Ovis aries: one gene and its partners. The protein of the gene in region 1 purifies or fractionates together with the protein of each later gene. This does not show direct contact. Links are inferred from orthologs where the notes say so. Each region holds a gene or a part of one and is shown on either strand. Other genes may lie near its edges.

Region 1 (3,748 bases):
ACCTTTACTGCTCACTCCCAACAGGCCCCCTTCTTTCACAGGAACAGTTGATAATTAGCGTTTTATAAATTTCTAAGAAAAATGCATCTGAGGACCCCTTCCCAATGAGATTACCAAGCCAAACTCCTCCTACCTCTTTTGGAATCTGAATCATCATTGTGCGTGTGTGAGAGGGAAAGAGAGACAGAGAGAGAGAGAGGGGAAGTGTAAACTGGTGAGAGAGAATGACCAGAATTATGATATCAGGATAAAGGCAAAAGTTGGGGTTAGATGCAGAATTATCTTTAGATTTGGAATTGTAAGATTAGGTTCCAGAAACATTAACATTGGGAGTTATGATTCAGACTTTGTTATAGGAACTCATTTGTTCAATAAATATTGAGCACTTACTCTGGGTCAGATTGCTTTTTTCCAACAAGGGATATTGAAGAGAACAAGAGAGAATAGATCTCTGTCATAGAGTGGGGAGGACAGACAATAAACACGATTTCAGCTAGTGATAAGTACCATGAAAAAAAATAAACCAGACCATGGGAATAGAGTGATGAGAAAAGCTGGGGAGCTGCCAGGATGAGGGAGCTATCTCGGGGTGTTCAGGAAAGTCTTCTTTGAAAAGGTAATGTTTGAGCTGAGACCTAAAGTTGTTCTTGAGATGGTGGTGGGGAGGGATAGGAGCAACACACAGAAAATGTTAAATTTGACGTTAGACATCGAAGTGGAGGTGTTGAGACAGGAGATGGAGGTACAAGTGTGGAGCTCAGAGGTCGGAGGTGGAGATACGAATGTGGGAGCTGTCAGTGCAGTTGCTGGTTCTTATCCGATTTCTTTTATCAGGGCTAACCGTGTGCCAGGCACGGTGCTAGGGGTTGGGGACACAAAGAGGAAACCACACAGACATATATACTATGCAACGTGCTCAACCGTCTCGCTGTATTCCGGGCGCTCTCTGAGAGCGCAGAACAAGGCAGCGAGTTGGGGCGAGACAGGGTGGGGACAGGGAGGGGGCCACCGCGGAGTCCTGGCCCGGAGGCGAGGAGCTTGACGCACAGAACGCGTCACAAAGACAGCGTTGTGAGGCAGCCAACTCTGGGCGCTGGGCGGGGCGGACCCGCCCACAGAGGGCCTTGGGGCGGGGCGGTGCTCCCGTCGCTAGCGCGCGGCGCCCTCTACAGGTCGCAGGCGGCGATACGCCGGTAGCCTTTGCTTTCCTCTCCTCCCTTTTCCCGCCAGCCTCTGGTCACATTTTTGTTGTTGTTGTAGCTGTTTCCGAGTGTTTCTAAGCCTTCAACTTCCCCTCCTTTTCGAGGCCTGGCGTGTCAGTGTCTTCGCGGGAAGACTGCCAATAAAGTTTTTCCTCTTCTCGCTCTCAGGCTCCCAGCCTCGCCCCAAGTACCGCGAGATCCGGCGGCGCGGCTACCATGGCGGCTGCGTTTGAAGCTCCGGCCGCCTTAGCGACCGTGGAGACCGCTATGCCGGCGGAGCGTGTGGCCACGCAGTTCTCGTCCCCGGAGCCAGCCTCCCGGCCGGTGCGGAGCCTGCGGACGGCTCACGACATCAGCGGCCCGCGGACCCGCACTGGGGACGTGCTGCTGGCGGAGCCGGCAGACTTCGAGTCGCTGCTGCTGTCGCGCCCGGTGCTGGAGGGCCTGCGGGCGGTTGGCTTCGAGCGGCCGTCGCCCGTGCAGCTGAAGGCCATCCCGCTGGGGCGATGTGGACTCGGTGAGGGAGGGGACACTGAGGGGCCAGGAGGGCCGAAAGTGGGGGACGCGGGGGCTGGGGGTGTCGAGCCATGGCGAGGGCCGGAAAGGGCCCAGGGCGGCTGCCTGCAGGGGCACGACACCGCATTCCGCGAGCCTCTATTTCCTACACTGTCAAACCGAGGCGCAGTACTGAATTTGGAGATACTTAAGGTCCATTCCACTCTGACAAGTAGGTCTATGTTTGAGAAAAGTAAACAGTAGTAAGGATCTCGGATGAGATCATCCTGGATTAGGGTAGGCCCTAAATCCAGTGATTAAAGCCAGAGATTGGAGTTACACAGCTTCGCGCCAAAAAATGTCTGAGCCATCAGAAGCTGGAAGAGACAGGGAAGAATTGTATTGATAACCATAGAGCCTTTGGAGGGAATGTGACCCTACTGATACTTTGATTTCATACTTCAAACTTCTGGTTCTTAAGCATAAAGAAGAAAAGAAACGGTAGGGGTTCAGGGAGGAGGCCTGTTTCTGGACATGGCTTCATGCTTTTTTAAGAGTTAAGGGTAAAAACCAAAGTGCCAACGATGTGATCTCTCTGGAGACCCTTCTAGTTCTGGGATTGGTACCTAAGTTTCTTCAGTCCTAGCTAACTTTTTTTTCTTCTCAGATTTAATTGTTCAGGCTAAGTCTGGAACTGGGAAAACCTGTGTCTTCTCCACCATTGCTTTGGACTCTCTTGTTCTTGAGAACCTAAGTACCCAGGTGAGTTTAGCTCAGATGACCCAAAGGAAGGTGTGTTATGTGCATTTTACTACACGTCAGATGAAATACCAGTGGCTCCTCAGAGATAGAAGTGAATATACTTGTCATATGCCTCAGTGATCCCCTTGAGGCATATGACAAGTATACGGGGAAAGTAGACACTGAGGCTATTGAGTGGTGGTGGTATGGATGGGATAGTGACCAAATAGAAGTTTAGAGATTTCTGTTATTACTACATGTTAAATTAAACAAGTCTGCCATGTGTGTCAGTTTTGTCATTTCTTGAGAATACAGATAGGGATTTTTTAATGCTTTTATTTGCTCACCAGATTATGGTGAGAGTTAGCATTTTGCCTGATTTGTGGTAATGAGGTGCTTGGCTGTTGTTGGTAACTAGGTGGTTCTTACAGTGAATGTATTATACTGATCTCCCATTTTCTAGATTCCCTCAGAGTATGTCTAAGATGGCTTTACCCAAATTAACAGGAGATTTGGGTTTGGGGATTTCTTCGACAAAGATTTGTTAAAGATAACATGATTTGCCCATGTTATCTATAAACAATTATGCCAGGCATTGGGGCTATCTTTTTGAGTCCTACCTTCTGTATTTATTCTGCTGACTTGTTAAAGTTATATTTTATGTTTTGTTTTGTTTTTAGATTTTGATCTTGGCTCCTACAAGAGAAATTGCTGTACAGATACATTCTGTTATCACAGCTATTGGAATAAAAATGGAAGGGTTAGAGTGTCATGTGTTTATTGGAGGGACTCCATTATCACAAGACAAAACCAGACTTAAAAAGTGTCATATTGCTGTTGGTTCTCCTGGTAAGATATCAGTACCTTTTAATTACTGGGCTTTTAAGTAACTGAGCACTTTTATATAACAGTAAGAATATGGCAGTCTTTGATAACTGTGGTAGTTATTTTGAGTATTAAAGATGAAGAACATTAGATTAGTGAGATATAAACACATGACTGGATTACCAACAGAATTTATAAAATCTCCATTCCTAAGGATGTTTAAGAATAAGTATGGGATAGGCTTTTGAAAAGAAGAGTATTGAGATGACTTTCAGGAAGCCCTTCTAAGCCATGGATTGGGATTATTTTTTGCTTCCATATTGTCTTTCAGTAATGAATCACTCAGAATCACAATCTAGCATTCAGTGCCTTACAGCTCTTAACAGGAATAGTGTTTATTTTCCATACATATTGGTGATGAAATGTGAGGGAAAAATAACGGATTTAGGTAAGATCAGAACTCAAGGTTTGTAATTTGTGGTTTA
Region 2 (3,648 bases), on another chromosome or scaffold:
TAATTTGTCTCTCCTTAAAGGAACAATGAACAGAAAGTATTTTGCAGCTGAGGGCCCGCACTCTGGCCCAAAACCACTTGTTTTCAGATTGCTCATGAAAGAGAACTGCTACTTGTTTTTCCTTCACAGAGGTGAACTGCTGCTATGGGATCTCACTCAGTCTTGGAGACGGAAATATACCCTCTTTAGTGGTTCATCAGAAGGGCAAAATCATTCAAGGATTGTGTTTAATTTATGTCCTCTGCAAACTGAAGAAGACAAACAGCTGCTGCTTTCCATATCAATGGACAGAGATGTAAGAACAGCTTATTCTGCATTCAGTACTGTATATTGGTGATTTATGACTTGGATAGGATTAGAGGACTTTTTCAGACTATCATCAGTTCTCACACCTCACCTCACCCCCAGGTTCCAATTTCAAAGTTACTGTTTCTGATTGGCATTAAATACATTAGCAGTAGAGGGAAGTAAAGGGAAGGGGAGGAACAACCAAGATGTCTTTTTGTTAAAGCAGATACGATAAGGAAGAGATGTGAGCATGAAAGGATGTGAGAGGTCATCATGGTTTAGCCTTAAAATATCCTTGTCTATATAGTTTAGGTAGCAGAATCATCTGCTCTTGGCAGAGTCTCTGTAAGAGAGAATTGGCTTTATCTGAGTAACCTTACTGTTTTTCAGTAATCAAAGCTTGTTTGATAGACTTTGTTTTCTCCCAAGTCACTGTGTTAATAAACAAGTGAAGATTAAAAACTTAGCACTCCTCGTCCAACGGAAATGATAACATATTTTGCTTTTTGAGATAAACTCTGATTCTTCCACTGTCCTAAGACCGTCATCTTTTTTCTTTACTTTTTTTTTGAGTTTACCAAATGAGATTATCAATGCTGTAATATTGTGGAAAGGCCAGTGGACTCTGGGAAATAGGAAGCCTGAGTTCTAGTGTATTGTGTGCCTTCAATTCACTTGGCATCTTAGGGGATAAATGTATTCCAAGATCCCTTTGAGCTCTACAGTTTACTGCCTTTTTTTTTTTCTAATTCCTTCTGGAATAGGTAAGTTACATTCTCCTGCTGCGCTCATTGAGCCCATTCTGTCTGAAACATTGATTGTTTTTCCCGTTTCTCCGATCTTCATAAAGACCCTAACCCTTAACCTTTTCAGGTAAAATGTTGGGACATGGCCACTCTGGAGTGCTGCTGGACCCTGCCTTCCCTCGGTGGGTTTGCCTACAGTCTGGCTTTCTCTCCTGTGGACACAGGCTGCTTAGCGATAGGCGTTGGGGATGGCATGATCCGCGTATGGAATACACTCTCCATAAAGAACAACTATGATGTGAAAAATTTTTGGCAAGGTGTCAAGTCCAAGGTTACAGCGGTAAGGATGCGTTCTTTGAACTTGCCATACACTGGTTTCAAATAACTAATTCTCTCTTAGAGAATACCTATTCACACAAATGAACTCTATAGGGAATTTACATTTCAGGAGTATTTTTGATGCAATTTGAAACTGGGAAAGCACAGGCACCCTCCCTAACCAAACGCATTACCTCCTAATTCAGAAATTTAGCTTTGTTTTGTGAAATTACATTTTTATTCAAGTCACCCTATTTTCTGATAGTAAGAAATTTAAAATAACCTGGATGTGCGTGCATTCATAGGAGGTACATTAAATTATAATATAACCACATGAGGAATAATAATGTTTGTGATTTTAAAAAAACCCACAGTACAGAAGTGTAGAAAGCAAAAATGTTCTCTTTTCCACCCTTGACTCTATTCTCCTGCTTCCATAATCCAAAGAATAATAGAATCATATTTTCTAAATTGTTCTGGAATCTTTTACTCCCCATCCAACAATGTATCACGAACATCATTTAAACATTTGATCCTATTTTTGTTTTTCAATTATATATAAAGTTTACTCACAAAAAATTTCTAGAAAGATACAGAACTGGTAGTGGGGTGGTTTGGATGGTGAAATTACAAGTGACTTTATTTTTAATACAATTTTTCTCTTAAATAATGAGAATTTGTTACTTTTAAAATTAGAAGACACCAAGAGCAGTAAGTGTTTCCAGCTGAATGCTGAAGTATAACTTAATGAATCCCTTAACAGTGCCCCTTCGTATTTCCTTGTAGCTGTGCTGGCACCCGACCAAGGAAGGCTGCTTAGCTTTTGGAACTGACGATGGAAAAGTGGGATTGTACGACACCTACTCCAACAAGTAAGAAATAGATGATCTTTATTTAGCCCATTGACCAAAATGTTAAGTGAGTTCATTTTGAGTTCATAGACCCAGATGTTTATCATAGTAAGACTGAGAATCATCTTTAAGATTCTGACTCTGAGACTGGGGCTTAGAATTCAGAATTTTATTTTTAAAACATTTTTTCAGGTTATTGTGATGGTTCAGCCCATCTGACCTGTGAACACCACTGAAGTTTTTTTTTTTCAGGAAAACATTTGCTTTTGTTTTCCCTCAACATTTTTTTACAAAAGTTTTCAGGCATCCAAGAATGTTAAGTTATACATAGGGGCTTCCCTGGTGGCTCAGATGGTAAAGAATCTGCTTGCAATGCAGGAGACCCAGGTTTGATCCCTGGTTGGGAAGATGCCCTGGAGAAGGAAATGGCTACCACTCCAGTATTGTTGAGTGTAGAATTCCATGGACAGAGGAGCCTGGCGGGCTACAGTCCATGAGGTCACAAAGAGTCAGACATGACTGAGCGGCTAACACTTTCACTTTCAAGAATGTTAAAAGCTTAGAATAAAGAACATCTCTGTTTCTTCCATTTTGAATTACCAGTTGTTAACATTTTGCCATACTTTTGGTACACTTAACAAAAATTAGCAGTAATCCATAACATGATGTAATATCCTGTGCATATACAAATTTCCTCAGTTGAGCCAAAAATGTTTTTCTAGCAATTTTTTTCAAACCTTTTTTTAATCAGGGGTCACACATTGTGTTTTTTAATGCCTCTTTAGCCTCTTCTTGTAGAATAGTCCCCCACTTCTTTCCGTAACACTGCCTTTTCAAATTGAAGATTCCAGATAAGTCGTTTCTAGCATATTCTACATTTTGGACTTGTCTAGTTAATTCTTTGTGGTGACTTGTAATTCAGTTCACTCTTTCCTGTATTTCCTATATTCCTTGTCTTCCCTGTATTGCCTATAAACTTTCTGGAACAGCACTGTGTCTTTAGTCACAGGTGGCTACTGAAGTGTGCTAAGTGTAGAATACACTTGAGAGTTCAAAAAAGAAAAGAATGTAAGATGCCTCAATATATATTTTAATTATATTTTAAAAGGTAATACTTTTTATACACTGAGCTGATTCCTAAAATTGAATTTCACTTGTTTCTGATACTTCTGTTAACATGGCTACCAGAAAGCTTTAAGTTGCAGATGGGGTTTGTATTTATGGCTCACAATATAAATCTATTGGACACAGCTATTCTGAGTGCTTGATTAGATTCCAAACCTGCACTGTTCAGTTTGGTAGCCACTGGCCACATGTGGCTACTTATGCTTAAAGTAATTAAAATTAAATAAATTAGAGATTGAGCTCCTAGTCACATGTGCCACACTGCCAGTGCTCAAGGGCCGTATCTGGCGAGTTCAGTTCAGTTCAGTTCAGTTCAGTCG
Region 3 (3,648 bases), on another chromosome or scaffold:
CGCCATCCTGTCAGCTTGAAGTCAGTCTCATCCCTTCCTTTAATCAGCCTAAATCAGCCGCTCAGATGAGGTCTGCTGTGCTTCAGGGCAGTCGGGGCTCAGAGGGGCCTGCCCATGGTAGCCGACCGGAAGCTCTGGGCCTGTGTCCATCAGTCTCTTTCTTGCTCTGTGGTGTTGTTGATGACTACTTACAGAATTTTTTTTATCCTGCACAGGGGACCCTCACAATGATCCCAATGCTCAGGGTGATGCCTTCAAGACTCTCTTTGTGGCTAGAGTGGTGAGTCCCCAGCTCCCAACCCCTGGCGCCCTAGGCTATGGAGAGCGTGGCTGTGGACAGTAGACTCGGTCCATGGGGTGTTTGAGGGCTTCTCTCACTTTCTTTCTGTCTCCCTGTAGAACTATGACACGACAGAGTCCAAGCTCCGGAGAGAGTTTGAGGTGTATGGACCCATCAAAAGGGTGAGTGGACCAGAGCAGGGGTGCTTGAGTTGAAGGTGTGCGGAGGGAGGGAGGAGGCACCGCGCCATTTCGGGCTTCAGACGCCACGGCCTGGGTTTCTGTCCTGCCCGCACATCCATGCTGGAGTCTCGGGATAGCGGAGGGAAGGCAAAGAGGTCATGATTACTTGCTGCTGATTTAGAGCACAAGTCAGCAAACTGCAGACTTAGTGAGTGAAGTTCGTTGGTAATCTAGCCAGGCCCACTTCACTGTCTGCAGCTGCTGTTGCTGCAGGGCAGTTAGGCAGGTGCGACAGGGACTGGGTGGCCCTCCCTGCAAGCTGGAAATGCCTGCTCTCTGGCTCTGTGTAGAAAGTGTATGTTGACTCTTGTTCTAGAGCACGGCTTCATGTATAACGGACATTTCTTCATTTGGTTTAGAAGTTCCTCAGATGCTCTGGGCTCTAGCAAGGGCTTGAGGTCATTGTGCACATCATTTGCTAAGCCCAAGGCCGTTAGAGCATCAGTCACTCTGGGTCCTTGAAGGGGCCGGGGGAGGGTCAGAAGCATCTGTTGCTGGCATCATCCAGCCCAGAGCTGTGTGATTGATAGGGTGAGTTGTCCCCTTGTCAGAATTGACCTCTGCCTCCTGCCACCCACCCTCCAGATACACATGGTCTACAGTAAGCGGTCGGGAAAGCCCCGGGGCTATGCCTTCATCGAGTACGAACACGAGCGGGACATGCACTGTGAGTGGCCGCCCCGCACCCTGCCCTCTGGCCCTCTCTCTTCTCTACTGCCCCAGCCCCTTCCCGTCGTCTGTCCCCTACCCCCCCTCCCCGCCAGACCTGACATTAGCGATGTCTCTTCTCCTCCTCCCTCTGTTTCTGATATATCTTTTTTTTTTTGTTTTTTATATACGTGTTTTTTAAAAAACAAAAACCAAAACCCCCCACAACGTGTGTGTGTGTGTGTGTGTGAACCTGGGGAGGTAAGTGTCACACGTTGAACCTCAGGGGCAAGGAGGGAACCCGGTGGGGGCTAGGGCTAGTTGGAGGTGGGGGGAGGGGTCGGATTTTCGGGGAGCCTCTCCCCATTTCCCCCAGCAGATTTGGGGGCGGCCAGGTTGCAGTGAGGACTGGCCTTTGAACCTGCCCTCTCCTCCCCCCAGCTGAGCTGGGGCTGGGCCACCCGACCCTCCACCTCCCCACCCCTGGCCCTCACCCTGTTCCTCGGCGGGCAGTGGGCTGGTCTGCGTGTTCAGCGCCTGCCCCCACACCTCCAAAGCCCCCGTTGAGGCCGCGGCGGCGTCCACATGGGCAGGGCTGGGCGGGCGGGGGTGGGCAGGGCTGCGGCGTGTCCAGGGGCCGCCGTATTAATTGACTGTTCTTATTGTCACTGCAGCCACCACGCAGCTGGCTTGCAGCTGATGCTTACGCTCCCCTTACAACACCTCAGTGTATGGTTGGTATAAGGGTTTGTATCATGGGTAAGATCACTCAGCACCGCACACCAGCCCAGCTTAGCCAGGCAGCTCAGGAGCAGCGAGGCCTCCCTCCTCCCACCCCCAGCCACCCCTCCGCCTCCCCGCACCCAGAGCCCTTTCCTTGTTTGGGTGCCCTCTGTCCCTTCTGGCCCCATCCAGGTGCTCTCTGACAATCTTGCTGATCCCAGGAGGGGAGAGATGCTCCCCGATGGGAAAGGCAGCCGGCCACTCCAGTTGGCCTCGGTTTAACCCCCAGCATATCTGGCTTCCCAACGGCCACGGCACGGCGGTGGGAACGCAGCAGGGCCAGGGCTCCTGGTGGAACCCTTCAGCCCTTCCTCCTCTCCTGGCCCCTGCCCCTGCCCCTTCTGCGGGCCCTCACTGTGGTGGCCCTGGAGAGTCTTTTTGGTTGCTAGACTCGGGGTGCTCTGCTCATGTCTTGTCTGCCTTGTCACAGTGGAGCCTCCCGAGAGGCTGTGGAGCCCAGCTGCTCTCCAGAGTGCATGGACTTGGGGATTGCTGTGGGAGGGGTCGAGCGACAGGCTGTGAACAGCTGAAGGTGCTGGAGCTTTTACTGAAAACCCTTCCACTGGCTGGAGACCTAAGAGAGGGAGAGCGAGCGAAGCCTAGAGATACACACGTCACATTTTTCTCTGCTGTTCTTCCCGGGTTGGGCCTCTTCTGGGGTTTGGGACATGACCAGAGCAGGGGTCCTTTGCTTGACTGTGTCCCCAGTCCTGAAATCCCGCCCCCACTACGCTCCTCTGGGTTCAGGGGCCCAGCGGCCCCTTCCCCGTGGATCATGGGCAGTACTCCCATCTCCTGGACCCCCGAAGCTGTCCCCTTGTGTGCCAGCCTTTGGGCTGAAGCAGATGGTGGGAGGGAGTGAGAAGTTCAAGGTGGAAAAGTCATTCCATGTGCTGAGGGGGTGGGGCCTGTGCCTAGCTGAGCGTGGATTTTATGGGGAAAAGCTGAAGGTGGACAGGTTTGCTAAGGCCTCCCTAGCCGCTTTGTAGAATTCAAACAAGATAGTCCTTTCAAGTTCCCAAGCTCTATGTTAACCCTGTCTCCCTCCTCTTCAAGGCCTCCATGAGGTTTCTTTGGGGTCCACCACTTCCTCTGCCTGCCTCCAGGCGGTACAGGAGATGTGGTTCCTCGCCCCTCCGGGGGCTCCCTAGAACCCCCTGGCTCCCTCCCCCGTAGCTTTAGCTGACCCCATGGTGGTGGGTGTGGGGTCTGTGCGCGTGCTCAGGTAAGCTTGGGGGCTCCAGGTAAGCGGTCCCGTGTCCCCCCCCGGGAAGCCCGCCTCCTCGCCAGGCCCCCAGGAGTTGCCGAGCCCCCCCCATCCCGCTCGGTTTGGACACCCGCAAGGCTGGCATCGGTAAATGGCACCTTTTTCTCTTCCTCTGGTTGTTATTTGGGGGGGGAGCGGGCTGGGGCGGGGCCGGGTGTTGTGGCTGGTTGAGGATGACCCCCTCCGCCAGGGCTGGGGGTTGGGAAACAGGGACGTTTTTGGCCTCCCGAGAGCCCCGTGTGAGGCAGCCCCGGGCTTGGGCCTGTCCTTGGCTGTGTCCTGCCCACCCGCAGGACGCGCTCCTCCCCGCCTCTCCCCCCTTACTCCGCACCCTTCCTGAGGCTCAGGTCGGGCTCGGCCCTTCCCGGCGCGTGTTGCACTGGGGTGTGGAGGGAGAGCTGGGCTGGGGGCTGGGTGGGTATAGTCTC

What was found.
Region 2: the proteins of DDX20 (region 1) and GEMIN5 purify together in Homo sapiens (affinity purification with western blotting; 6 studies listed by BioGRID and IntAct, counting the BioPlex papers as one, with this or other methods). This does not show direct contact. The link is inferred for Ovis aries from reciprocal best matches to the Homo sapiens genes DDX20 and GEMIN5.
Region 3: the proteins of DDX20 (region 1) and SNRNP70 purify together in Homo sapiens (affinity purification with mass spectrometry; 4 studies listed by BioGRID and IntAct, counting the BioPlex papers as one, with this or other methods). This does not show direct contact. The link is inferred for Ovis aries from reciprocal best matches to the Homo sapiens genes DDX20 and SNRNP70.

What each region holds. Positions count from the first base shown.
Region 1 is NC_056054.1:89,176,818-89,180,565, forward strand, and holds the start of DDX20 (probable ATP-dependent RNA helicase DDX20), read left to right. Parts: upstream 1-1,396; 5' UTR 1,397-1,418; coding exon 1,419-1,719; intron 1,720-2,364; coding exon 2,365-2,459; intron 2,460-3,118; coding exon 3,119-3,287; intron 3,288-3,748.
Region 2 is NC_056058.1:63,875,148-63,878,795, reverse strand, and holds part of GEMIN5 (gem-associated protein 5), read left to right. Parts: intron 1-129; coding exon 130-295; intron 296-1,161; coding exon 1,162-1,374; intron 1,375-2,138; coding exon 2,139-2,224; intron 2,225-3,648. UniProt on the Homo sapiens protein: The SMN complex catalyzes the assembly of small nuclear ribonucleoproteins (snRNPs), the building blocks of the spliceosome, and thereby plays an important role in the splicing of cellular pre-mRNAs.
Region 3 is NC_056067.1:55,351,496-55,355,143, forward strand, and holds part of SNRNP70 (U1 small nuclear ribonucleoprotein 70 kDa), read left to right. Parts: intron 1-215; coding exon 216-280; intron 281-399; coding exon 400-462; intron 463-1,107; coding exon 1,108-1,189; intron 1,190-3,648. UniProt on the Homo sapiens protein: Component of the spliceosomal U1 snRNP, which is essential for recognition of the pre-mRNA 5' splice-site and the subsequent assembly of the spliceosome. SNRNP70 binds to the loop I region of U1-snRNA.